2 linked regions of the Macaca mulatta genome follow. Each later gene encodes a partner of the first gene's protein in a complex. Links are inferred from orthologs where the notes say so. Each region holds a gene or a part of one and is shown on either strand. Other genes may lie near its edges.

Region 1 (5,725 bases):
GTGCTCAGAGTTGGTTGAAATGGCTGCGAAGTGTGGACAGTGACCACTGAATCCCAAAAGTCACTGCACTTGATCTGATCCAAATACCAGTGACTGCAGTTAGGGTAGAGAGCTTCTCTGAAGCAGGGGTCATGGAGGCTTTTGTGTGGCTGAGGCTTCCCTTTTTCACAACAGTAAGAAGCTATCAATGGGAAATTGTGGACTTTTCCCACCAGGGACTCAATGTGCAATATTCAGTCAATATAAAACTCTTAAGAACTCCTCCTTACTGGTGACTGTCAACACTGGATCTAAGACGTGAATAGTCTAATTTTCCTGAGCAAGGAGCTGCAAGTCTGGCTTTAGAAAAGCCCTTAGGAGTGTCCCACCTCCACCGCGCAAGCAGGTTTTAGGTGGGGTGGACCCTGTGGGACTTGCCCTCTGAGGGATGGATGGACTCAGAGCCCCTCCCCGGCTCAGCACCCGCGGCCTCCGCCCACTCAATGGACTGCGCCTCCCAGATGGATGATCTCCCTGCAGAGGACCAGAAGCTCTGTCCAAGGCCTCGGCCTGGGATGCCGGAAGGGGTGGGAAGGGTCCGGGGTCCAGGACAGGCCCAGGGGTCTCAGCAGGTCCTCCTTGGAGGGCCTGAGCCTGGTGAGGGGGACGGTGCCCTGGGCCCCTCCATGCCCCCTTGGTTCGCCCTGCTTTGTTAAGGGGGCCAGAGCAGCTGCTGGGCCCCACAGTCCACTTAAGGAACGGCCATGATTCTTGGAAAGCGCCGCCCGCCAGGCCACCTTTCACCCAGCCAGGGCCCCCGGGGCGACCTCCGGGCCAGGTGCGACAGGTCAGGCCGGAGACCTCGTCTGTGGGGGACGGGCAGTGCCCGCGGCCGCCACCCTGAGACCGGGCGCGGGCAGGACGGAACCTGGAGGGGGAACGAGGCAGGTGCTGGCTCTAGGAGTCTAAATCCCCAAGCGCTGAGTAGACGGAAGACGTTCCCGCTACTTTACCTGCAGCTCAAAGACCTGGCGAGGGCCTGGAAACGGCGCTCGGCCAGGGCCGCTTGCGGGGCCGGGCCTGCAGCCGCTGCAGGTCTGGCCCTGAGTCCTGGCGCTCGGAAGGTCCCTGAGTCGGTCCCCGGGGAGAGGTGCGGGGCTCGGGGGTGGGGGCCCGGAGCCTTGGGCTGGTTTCACGCAAATCCGTTTTGGGCGAGCCTCGGTTTCCCGGCAGCTGTGGGAAAGGGCGCGAGCGGCCAGCCACGGCGCGCGGGCCCTTCCCGCCCGCGGCTTCACAGCGGCGTCTCCTCCTGCTCCAGCGCGTGCGGCGGTGCGTGGCACGAGGGCGGCAGGGACGCCAGCTTCAGCAGGGCGGGGCGGCGGCGCGCGCGGGGCCGCTGGAACGAGCGCCGGCTGTGCACGCGGCGCGCCGCCGCCGAACGCGCGTGCGCACTCGGCAGTCCCCGGCGCTCCGGCCCCGGCCCCGCCCCCGCCCCCGCCCCCGCCCCGGGTGTAGGCCCCGCCCCCGGCTCGCGCTCCGGCGGCTCTGCGGGCTCGGCCGCGGCGCTCTCGGGGTTCTGCGCGGGCGTGGGCGTGGGCGCGGGCGGGACGGGGCTCGGGGCGCGCGGCCGCTGTAACCGCGCGGGGATCAGGGGCTTCTCCGGGGCGGCGGCGGCCGCGGCTGGCGGCCCGTGGCGCGGGGACGAGCGTCCGGTCAGCGGCGTGTCGGAGCCGGTGTCACCTGCGGGAGAGCAGGGCGTGAGCGGCGCGCGGAGCCCGGGCGCTAGGGCGGGAGTGGCGTCCCCGGGCGGTTTAGCTCTCCCCAAGCCTGGCGGCTCTCGCCTCCCCTTCCGCCGGGCACCCGGGGCTCGGCGTCCGCCGGGGCCTCCTCCCAGGACCCGGTTCGCAGGACAGAGGCGGAAGCAGCAACAGCGAAGCCCCACCCTGGCCCAACCACGTCCCACCGCCGGGGGTCCCGGGACAGCGGCCTTCTCCGTGCAGGAAGGTCCCGCCCCTGGCCCTGCAGCGCGGGAGGTCAAGGTCCCCAAGGGGAAAACCTGCTTCCTCCATCTCAAACCGCCCTGGCGTTCCCCGGGTGCCTCCCAGGCCCCCAGAGGGAGCTCACAAAGCCCAGACCCTGTGGCGCGCCCTGAGCTGGAGGCAGAGCCCGGGTCTGCGGGGCCGGCCCTCCCTGTATCCCTGTGGGAGGATAGGGGACCCGGGGCGTCTGGCTCCCCCTAGCCCTGCTCTCAGCTCCGTGGGAGCGCAGGAGTTGGACTCGCGGACTAGCTTTCGGAGCCACCTAAAGGAAATCACAGGCGGCCCTGGGGCTCTCAGCTCCGTGGGAGCAGCAGAGACGCCAGGGTCTGTCCGGGCTCCTGAGGGAGGTGCGGCCAGCAGGGCGCTAGAGGAGGAAGAGGGGCTGCTGGAGAGAGAGAGAGAGCCAGGTTCAGGTCCAGGGAGGAGGAGAGAGAGAGCGCGAGGCGGAGACCTGGAGGGAAAGGAGCTGCGGAGAGAGGGGTTAGGTGGCAGGAGGCCCGGGAGCGTTACATGTGTGTGGACTCGGGGAGGGTGGCGGGGGGCCGCTCCTCGGGGCCGTCTGCCTGCAGGAAGGAGTCCACCGACTTGCTGCTGAGGCGGAAGGGCGTCAGGCGGCGGAAGGTGCTGGGAGAGTGGGGAATCTGCGTGCGGGCCCTCTGCGAGGGGACCACCGTCTCCCCGGGAGACAGCCAGGGCGGCAGCCTGGCCAGGAGGCTGCGGTCCAGGGCCTCATCCGGAGAAAACACAGGGTTGTCAATTCCTAGGAGAGAGGGCAGCGGCCGGTCAGCCTCCTGGGAGCCCTGGGGCGGCAGGGGAGGCCTTGCGGGGGCCGTCACCTGCTGCGTGCCCTGGAAGGTTAAGGTCACCTGGAATAGGATCACCGGGAAGGTTAGGGTCACGTGCCTTTCAGGTTGCAGGCCCTTGCCCCACATCCATGACCCCACACATCACAGACAGCACAGGCGAGGTCTCCCTTCCCTCAAGACACACCCCGTCTGCTCCCTGCCCGGCCCACGTCTCCTGGGACAGCAGCCTCCGAGTTGGTTGAGGAGGCACTCGAGGTGCCAGGCAGGGCCCTTGAGAACCCACAGGAGACCCCCCCCCGCCAGGTCCCAGTGCCCCTGGTCCAATGACTGAGCTCCCTCCTGGGGCAGCAGGAGCTGCCCCTCCCTGGGCCACGACGCCTGTGCCCTGTCCCCACCTGCAGGGGAGTCGGATGCTGTGTCCTTGGTGACACTGGCCAGGAATTCGATTCCCCCGCTCATCTCCTCATCATAGTTGGGGTGCTCCTCGGTGTCTGAAAGTTCCAAGTCTGGAGGAGACAGGCTGGGATGAGGACTGGGGTCACTAGGGGGCTGTCCTCACAGCCGGTCAGCCGTGTCCATCAGCTCTGTGCCCAGAGGTGCAGGGGGTCGGGACCCACAGAGAGAAGGGCTAAACCGCAGGGCTGGGGGAGGGCAAGGAGGGACCCCACTTGGAGGGCAGCACCCCTGGAACCCCATCCTGGGTGGGTCTGCAGCTGGGGCCCTGACCGTGCCTCCCTGCCTGGGTGGCTGGAGGGTCCTGAGAGGGGAGGGCCCCGAGAGGGGAGGGCTGGGGCTGGGAGGTGGTGGCTCCCAGCATTTCCCGCAGGGCCCCCAGCGCACCTTTCTCTTTGATGGTGAAATTCTGCACAGGGTTCTCCATGGGCAGCTTCCCATTGGGGATGCTGCTGTTTCTCTGTGGGGCAAACGTGAAGCTGCTCACAGACCTCAACACAGCCACACCCGGCCCAGACTGCCCCCACTCCAGGCCCCAGCCCCTTCGAGCCTCCTGGTGACCCGGCCTCACCCGCTTCTGGGCACGCTCCCGCTTGTACATCTTGGCTGCCTTCTTGTTCTGGTTGAGCCCCAGCTTGGTCGACTTGAAGGACTCCAGGCGCTTCCGCATGGTCCTGTGGAAGATTTCCCGGTCCTGCTTCTCGTCCTCCGTGGGCGTGAGCTCGTGCCGGCTGTACAGATGCTTGTACTGCAGGGTTGGGCACGGAGGTCACAGCTGTGCCCAGCACCAGACACTCCCGCCCTCCTGCCGCAGGGGCTGAGCACGGATCCCCCATGGTCCTGGGAGGGGACGAGGAGGCCACCCTACAGGGGTCCCTGTGGGCGCGTCCAGCCCCCAGCCTGCGGGGCCCACCTCCTGCCGCGGCTTGTACAGGTACTGCTGCAGCGTGTGGTGCGTGACCATGTCCTCTGCGTCCCGGATGCTCCGCCGCCGCTGCTCCAGAGACTGCATGTCCAGGCAGACGGCGCTGACATTCTCTCTCCTGCATGGGGACCAGCGCTGAGCCACACAGGCTCCCTCAGGGTGGGGTCTCCTGTGCACCCCTCGCCTTCCCAAGGCGGGCATCCGGCTGGGGTACGGGGACACCTGGCCACCTGGCCAGCCCCTTCTCCCCTCGGGGCTTAGGCTGACTCCCCACGAGGCCTTCCCGGCCTCCGTTCTGAGGTGGATCCCCCTCCTCACTGGTCCCCCTCCAGAGCCCTGGCTGTGAGACTTGGGGACCCTGGCATCTGCACACCTGGCAGAGTGGACCTCCCATGAGAACTGGCCGTGAGCTGTGGAGCCCATGGCTGGAGGGGCAGTAGGGGTGGCATGGGGACCAGGACAGGCTGCTCCTGGCCCGGGGCAAACACGTCAGGCCCGGACCCCAATCCGCTGCTGCCCCTCCCTTTCACCTTGCATCCAGCACTAAGGGAGTCTGGCCACCGCATAACACAGGGGAGCGCTTGCTGAAGGGGACACCCAGCCCCTCTTTCTGCACCCCTCCACTCCCCCATGCCACCCCCAGGCCAGGAGCCACCCCAGCCCCGCCTGTGACTCTCAGCTGGGTTCTTCCCCAGGGAAGCTGCAGGACCGCGGCCACGTACAGGAGGTACGAGACAGAGGCCTCCACGGTGGATGATCGTGGCGTGAAGTCCACGTTGACCATGTTGTCGGTGCTGGGGGAGCGGATGAAGGCCAGGGACCCACGGCGCTCTCCCTATGGTCAGGAAGCAGCCCGGTCAGTGGCCTGAGCAGCCAAGCCCTAGGTCCCGGACCTGCGGCAGCTGCTGCTGTTGTGTGCCCTGGGGGGAAGCGGGGAAGTGCCCAGAGCTCGGGGCCCAGGGAAGGCCTTGAGACCTGAGCCCCAGGTTCTCCCCTCACAGCTGCAGAGGGGAGGAGATGCCAAAACCACGAGATCAGATTTTGAGCCTCTGTCCATCTGTCTGAGGCCACAGCCAGACTGCTGCCTGAACTGGGCAGAGGTAATGCTTGTGGGAGGACACAGTGGTCTGAGTGTGAAGGGGTAAAGCTGCCTAGGACTTGGGGGGTGTCTGGGGAAACTGTCGATATGCGGAATCAGAAGTGGCCCCTGTCCCTGCCAGAGGCCCTAAAACCCCATTGGCCTCATGTCCAGAAATGAATCAGGTCGAGGGAATGGAGCAGAGCCCGATGGGGCACAGAAGCCGCACAGCTGAGTGCCAGAGGATGGGAGTGGGGCTGCCTGTGTGTCCTCAGACCCCACCCGCCTGATGGCAGGCCTGGAGAGTGTGAGGCTGTGGAGGAGTGCAGGGCAGGGTGGGCTTGTGGCTGGAGTCAGGGTCTCCAGGGCCAGCGGGGGCACAGGTGTGGAGGGAACGTCAGCTCACTGCGCTCAGACCTTGCCAGGTGGGCACCATGCCGCCTTG
Region 2 (6,258 bases), on another chromosome or scaffold:
TAGTTTACATAATTCATCTCATTTAATTGCCGTAAGAATCCTATAAAGTAGGCACTATTATTATTCTAATTTTACAGATGATGAAACTGAGGCTCACAGGTGTTACTTTTCCAAACACTTACTGTTATTCATTAAATATCAAATACCAGCTAATCTAGTCATGTATAAATTCTAATCTCTTTAAAATTACAAAAAATATGGTTAAATATAATCATCAATTCCAATGCACAGCTTTCGCATTGAATATAAAGTTAGCATTCCTCAATTATGTTACATTTTCTACTGGCAAAGGAAGTAGTAAAATGTCTTATAATTGTTCTTAAAGTGCTTTTGTTAGTTTTCCAAATTCTTCATAGAACAAAAGGCAGATGAAAATAGGACAAAGTCCACCTCTCTACCCACTCCGGATATCCGTTTTTATTCTTCAAAATCATTTGCATCATACCAAATTACTCCTTGAAAAAGCAACTCTGGGCCTGGTGCAGTGGCTCACACCTGTGATCCCAGCGCTTTGGGAGGCCAAAGTGGCCTGAGAATCACTTGAGGCCAGCAGTTCATGACCAGCCTCGACAAAATAGCAAGTCTCCATCTCTACAAAAGATAAAGATAAAAATCAGCTAAGCATGGTGGTATGTGCCTGTAGTCCTAGCTACTTGGGACGCTGAAGCTGGAGGATGGCTTAAGCCCAGAGTTCAAGGCTTGCAGTGAGCTATGCTCAAGCCACTGTAGTCCAGCCTGGGAGACAGAGCAAAGACCCTGTCTCTAAAATAAAGAAAAAGAAAAAGAAGGGCCGGGTGCAGTGGCTCAAGCCTGTAATCCCAGCACTTTGGGAGGCCGAGACGGGCGGATCACGAGGTCAGGAGATCGAGACCATCCTGGCGAACACGGTGAAACCCCGTCTCTACTAAAAAAATACAAAAAACTAGCCGGGCGAGGTGGCGGGCGCCTGTAGTCCCAGCTACTTGGGAGGCTGAGGCAGGAGAATGGCGTAAACCTGGGAGGCGGAGCTTGCAGTGAGCTGAGATCCGGCCACTGCACTCCAGCCTGGGCGACAGAGACAGACTCCGTCTCAAAAAAAAAAAAGAAAAAGAAAAAGAAAAAACAACTCTGATGATGGACACTATTTGGATAAACTGATGGTTCCCAGCACAGAGGAATGACTTTGTAGCAGGCTTGGGGGTATCTCTCCTGGAAGTCACCCAAAATGCCCTAGGTTAATCTATTACTCCATTCATCCATGTATCAAGGCCCAATTCCCATCCTCCATGAGGACAGCCCACAGGGATGCTCTCTTCCCTGATTTCTGAAGGTGGGTGACACACAATTTCAGCTTTCTTATGTCATGATGCTAATCATAACTCTCTTGGGCTTATCTCCCCAACCAGGTTGTGGGCGTTTTTTTGTCACCATCTGCTCTCAGTACCTAGCACAGTACTGAACAGACACTGTAAAAATTCAGTAAGCACTTGTTTCACTAAGCATTCTGGCTCAATACATACATTTGCACTGGTTGTGGAGAGAAATGGGGAAAACAGCTTTTCCATGAGCACTCAGTTGTCTCTCCACAAGCCACATGGTAAAAATATCCCATCCAGGCCCTTTCCATTTGGTCAAATGTATGTAAACCAGAATGGGATTACCGCTCCCTTCATTCTGAAGCAAAAATGGCTTTTTGCATCCTCACTATGGTTTACACTTTCTCGTTAAGTGACTCTGTATTTATTTCTCTTTCATTCTGCTTATTTCTCCATGTGACTCTTTAACACAAATACTTTAATTCGGTGTCACCCTAGACCTAAAGTAGTTCTAATTACAAATGTGGCCAGAAGCTATGGCCACAAAATGTAATAAAATGCTTGCTGAATCCAAACTGCTTGCATCTCCACTCCTAGGGTCAGAGTAAGTCAGTGGCCAAACAAGTACTGCAAATTATAAAGAGATAACTACTTTGGGTCATTCAAAATTGTGAAAAGAACTGCCTTGGTAGGTGGAGAGGTTATCACTATCAAAGGTCTTTACAGAGAGGCTTAAGGGCCATATTTTAGGGGAGGCTGAAAGGGGCAAACCAATCCAGCAAGGGGTGGGGCTAGATAACATCCCTTCCAACTTGAAAACTCTAGAAAGTTGAACTTGTCACAAAGCAGAGAAAAGCACTTAACATATTCTAGGCCTGAGTAATTCTGTAGTTGTCCATAGCACTCCTCGGTACTATCTGCATATGGGCCCCTGAGTGAGTTACTGGTCATCTCATTATCAAAGACAGGTATGATGAAGAGACAGAGCTCAGGTGCTACATCATTCATTAACTCAACAAGAATCGTAAAGGTTTACTGAAAAGATAAAATATTGTATGCATCAATACAATTGTATCATACATTGCATTATCAAGGACTATTCAAAGGTATGCTGGTATTTTACAGAGCTTCAGAATCCCCAGAGTCCTTTTGCTCCTTTGTGCAGGCTAATGAGGAAGAGACTGGACTATTAAAAAAAAAAAAAAAAAAAATCAGTTCTGCAGGGCAGGGTGGCTCACACCTGTAATCGCAACACTTTGGGAGGCCGAGGCGGGTGGATCACTTGAGGTCAGGAGTTCAAGGCCAGCCTGGCCAACATGGTGAAACCCCATCTCTACCAAAAATACAAAAATTAGCCAAGTGTGGTGGCAGGCGCCTGTACTCCCAGCTACTCGGGAGGCTGAGGCCAGAGAATCGCTTGAACCTGGGAGGCAGAGGTTGCAGTGTGCTGAGATCACACCACTGCACTCCACCCTGGGTGACAGAGGGAGACTCCGTTTAAAAAAAAAAAAAAAATCAGTTCCTAGTACAAATTCACACGGAGATTTTTGAAGCACATCCAATTTCAATAGCGAATAAAAAAGTACACCAGCACAGTAGAAATCAATATATATATATGAAATTAGGCCAGCAAGTATCCTCGTGTAAGTAAAAAACTGGTGCTCATAGTATCCGTGTTTTTTCTCTAGAAGTTCAGATTGAAAGAAGTCTCACAATCCCAGATCCCTGTTGAAAGGTCTCCAGGCATCGGGTCATGTCTCCCAAAGCCTTACTACACGGTCTTGCTTTCTGGGTGGTTTTCCTAATTTGTGACAAGAACTTGTTTGTAATTTCCCATAGTTGTCAGAGGTTTCAGGTCCTTGCCCAGAAATGGATTTTCTATAGAATCCATCTCGAGTTCCTGAATTTGCTTCTCGGGCTTTACCTACTGTTCAGGATGCCTCTTCATAGGGAAGGGTGGTGCTAGGCAACAGAAAGGAAAGGAGTTCGGGGACTTTGATGGGCAAGGGGCAGAAAAGGGGGGCGTCGACGCTCTAAGAGTTATCAAGACTCCCGATGTTGAAGGGAAGGACACCCCCACAGTAGCTACAGCCCCGCTCCAGGAAGCTGCAGCTGGAAGAACAGGTCTTCCAGCTCTCGGTCCCGAAACCTGGAGGCTGCCCAGGACCCCCCCAACCTCACAGGCACCCGAGCTCCAGACCTTAGCGACAGCCGCCCTCGGTTGCGAGGCCAGTCTGAGGCGCCCGGCGTTCCCACCCCCAACCCGAACTCACAGCCGGTCTCCTTCTTGATCTCCTCGAGCTCTTCGTCCCGCAGTAACGTGGAGGCCCGAGAACCCATCGCCGTGCCGGGAGCTCCTCCGGGAGCAGCGGCGCCAGAAGAGAGGGCGACAGGAGGGAAGGAGGGAGGGAAGGGCGGGCTAGGGGTCAAGAAGGGAGAGGGCAGTGTTTCCACTGCGGACCCAGGAGGGAACCCAGGGGTGGTGCGCTGGGGAGGGCGGCCCCGAGGACCCGCCAATCAGGCGCGAGGCAGCGCCCGGCTCAGGAGTCGACGTCAGCGTTCGAGTTCCAGCCCCGAATGAATCAGCCCAGCTCCAGCCCAAGTCCTGCTGAAGATGGACCCCGCCCCCGGAACCGCAGCTGCCACCGGCCTTAAAGGGGCGATGCCACTCGGGCGCTAACGACGCAATTAAAAGGGCAATTCCATTGACCAACCGTTTTACAACAAACTAACCTGCGGCAGGCAGCGTAGCCTACCTTTTCTCACAGAAATCGAACACTAGGAATCCTACTCGATAGGTGGCACGGATTGCGGAGAGAAACTTCGCGTGGGGGGAACCCTAGGGTGTGCCCCTCGGGGACTGCATGCGCTCTGTATCTTTCCTGGCGGCCGTCCTCCTCCCGGCCGCAGGGGGCGCTGGGGAGCCAGCCTCGGGGCCGCGTGCTGATTGGCTCCTTGGGAAACAGACGAGACTGGACGTTGGGCCGGGAGGGCTGCAGCGTGGGTGCCCGGCGTCGCGGACCTTTCTCCAGGTTGTTTTCAGGCTGTGATTTGATAACCGCCGCCGGGTGGCGTGGAGCGTCCCGAGACTTTTTCCTTCATTGCAGCCCCCCTCTTCTTTTAGTTCTAGACTGAAGTTCGAGGAATTCACCACTTGGCTGAAATTAGGATCCAGATTTCTCAAACTTGCTTCGGAGGAAAAAGCCCTAACGATGGAGGACAGTGAATTCCTAGCTTATGGTCCGCCATTTATTTGAAGTTCCTTACTTTGTCTTAAAAATGAGAAATTTTGCATTTTATTCTCATGGTGTATTGTTTGTTTTGATTAAAAAGGTAGGCCGGACACGGTGGCTCACGCCTGTAATCCCAGCATTTTGGGAGGTCGAGGCGGGCTGATCACCTGAGGTCAGGAGTTCGAGACCAGCCTGACCAATATGGAGAAACTTCGTCTCTACTAAAAATATAAAATTAGTAGGGCGTGGTGGCGCATGCCTGTAATCCCAGCTACTCGGGAGGCTGAGGCAGGAGAATTGCTTGAACCCGGGAGGCGGAGGTTGCAGTGAGCCAAGATCGCGGCATTGCCTGGGTGACAGAGCGAGACTCCGTCTCAAAAAAAAAAAAAAGTAAAAAGCCACCCATTAAATTAGTGCCTACTCTCAGGTGAACCAGTTCTTACTACTTCACCGGCCTTACCCCTTCACACCTGTTTGGTTAGAACCCGTATAAGATATGGAAGAACTGAATTCTGACCGCTGTCTGTTAGAACCTAAGTACCAGGGTATTTTTGTCTTAGCAAGCTTTCCCAGGTCAACTTAGGTTATTAGTTTTAAGTGTTCCTAAGGCTTTACAGCTTAGCCTGAGGCCCCACACGTTCCCTGCAGGCTGAGGTTCTAGTTTGAAGAACTACAGTTTTGTTTTGTTTGTTGTTGTTGCTGTTGTTTGAGATGGAGTTTTTGCTCTTGTTCCCAGGCTGGAGTGCAAAGGCGCCATCTCAGCTCACCGAAACCTCCGCCTCCCGAGTTCAAGCGATTCTCCTGCCTCAGCCTCCCGAGTAGCTGGGGTTATAGGCATGCGCCACCGCCTCCAGCTAATTTTATGTTTTTAGTAGAGACGGGGTTTCTCCATATTGGTCAGGCTGGTCTCGGACTTCTGACCTCAGGTGATCCGCCCGCCTCAGCCTCCCAAAGTGCTGTGATTACAGGTGCAAGCCACCGCACTTGGCCTGTTTTGTTTTTTTGCGACAGAGTCTCACTCTGTCGCCCGGGCTGGAGCGCCAGGGCCTGATAACTGTGCAGATTCGGCTCACTGCAGCCTCCAGGCGGGTTCAAGGGATTATCGTGCCTCAGCCTCCTGAGTAGCTGGGATTACAGGCCCGTGCCACCACGCTCAGCTAATTTTTGTATTTTTAGTAGAGACAGGGTTTCACCATATTGGCTAGGCGGGTCTCAAACTCCAGAACTCAGGTGATCCACCAGCCTTGGCCTCCCAAAGTGTTGGGATTACAGGCGTGAGTCACCGTGCTCGGCCTTAGAGTTATTTTGATGATTGGCGTGCACTTGTCTAACCTAGTGATGTTGTCCTTAATACTCAGTAACATTTTGGATATGTCCGTCTAAGAGCTAAATCACTGGAGCTGCTTTGTATGTTGGAATATGGGTGTGATAGGAAAATTTTGTCAGCCCCATGAATGTCCCTTTTCTCAGTCAGCCTTGAAGCCCATCTCTTGATGCTGACCTTACTTTTTTCCTTCCTAATCTTGAATCTTACCATTTGCAGCTGTCTCCAGTCAAAGCTTTCTTTGCTTCATACTAGTATTTTTTTCTGACTTTAATTTTTTTTTTCTTTAACGTTTCTTTAATTCTCTTATTTTCCAGGTGTTTCACAAACTTTTCTTTCTTGGGTAGCTTTTAAAAGTATAAATTGCTTGAAGCTGGGAGGCGGAGATTGCAGTGAGCCGAGATCG

The links.
Region 2: the proteins of SLC9A3 (region 1) and CHP1 are in contact, whole or in part, in a cryo-EM structure (PDB 7X2U), measured with the Homo sapiens proteins. The link is inferred for Macaca mulatta from reciprocal best matches to the Homo sapiens genes SLC9A3 and CHP1. Residues at the interface, in NP_004165.2 of Homo sapiens: Tyr396, Arg397, Met398, Gln400, Glu402, Arg474, Leu475, Asn476, Glu477, Leu479, His480, Gly481, Arg482, Ala483, Phe484, Asp485, His486, Ile487, Leu488, Ser489, Ala490, Ile491, Glu492, Asp493, Ile494, Ser495, Gly496, Gln497, Asn501, Arg504; in NP_009167.1 of Homo sapiens: Arg30, Leu31, Arg34, Leu38, Lys40, Glu49, Phe51, Gln52, Arg53, Ile54, Glu56, Leu57, Ala58, Ile59, Asn60, Pro61, Leu62, Asp64, Ile66, Phe70, Phe83, Leu87, Phe90, Leu115, Phe117, Ala118, Leu121, Tyr122, Leu135, Leu139.

Annotation. Positions count from the first base shown.
Region 1 is NC_133411.1:1,568,684-1,574,408, forward strand, and holds the end of SLC9A3 (sodium/hydrogen exchanger 3), read right to left. Parts: intron 5,303-5,725; exon of another isoform or gene 5,204-5,302; intron 5,059-5,203; exon of another isoform or gene 5,038-5,058; coding exon 4,925-5,037; exon of another isoform or gene 4,898-4,924; intron 4,413-4,897; exon of another isoform or gene 4,321-4,412; coding exon 4,191-4,320; exon of another isoform or gene 4,026-4,190; coding exon 3,849-4,025; exon of another isoform or gene 3,738-3,848; coding exon 3,665-3,737; exon of another isoform or gene 3,331-3,664; coding exon 3,220-3,330; exon of another isoform or gene 2,779-3,219; coding exon 2,529-2,778; coding exon of another isoform or gene 2,525-2,528; exon of another isoform or gene 2,220-2,524; coding exon of another isoform or gene 1,720-2,219; coding exon 1,716-1,719; downstream 1-1,715. Other genes in the region: uncharacterized protein LOC114679012, read left to right, coding at 744-2,219. UniProt on the Homo sapiens protein: Plasma membrane Na(+)/H(+) antiporter. Exchanges intracellular H(+) ions for extracellular Na(+) in 1:1 stoichiometry, playing a key role in salt and fluid absorption and pH homeostasis.
Region 2 is NC_133412.1:18,584,060-18,590,317, reverse strand, and holds the start of CHP1 (calcineurin B homologous protein 1), read right to left. Parts: upstream 3,774-6,258; 5' UTR 3,636-3,773; coding exon 3,569-3,635; intron 1-3,568. UniProt on the Homo sapiens protein: Calcium-binding protein involved in different processes such as regulation of vesicular trafficking, plasma membrane Na(+)/H(+) exchanger and gene transcription. Involved in the constitutive exocytic membrane traffic.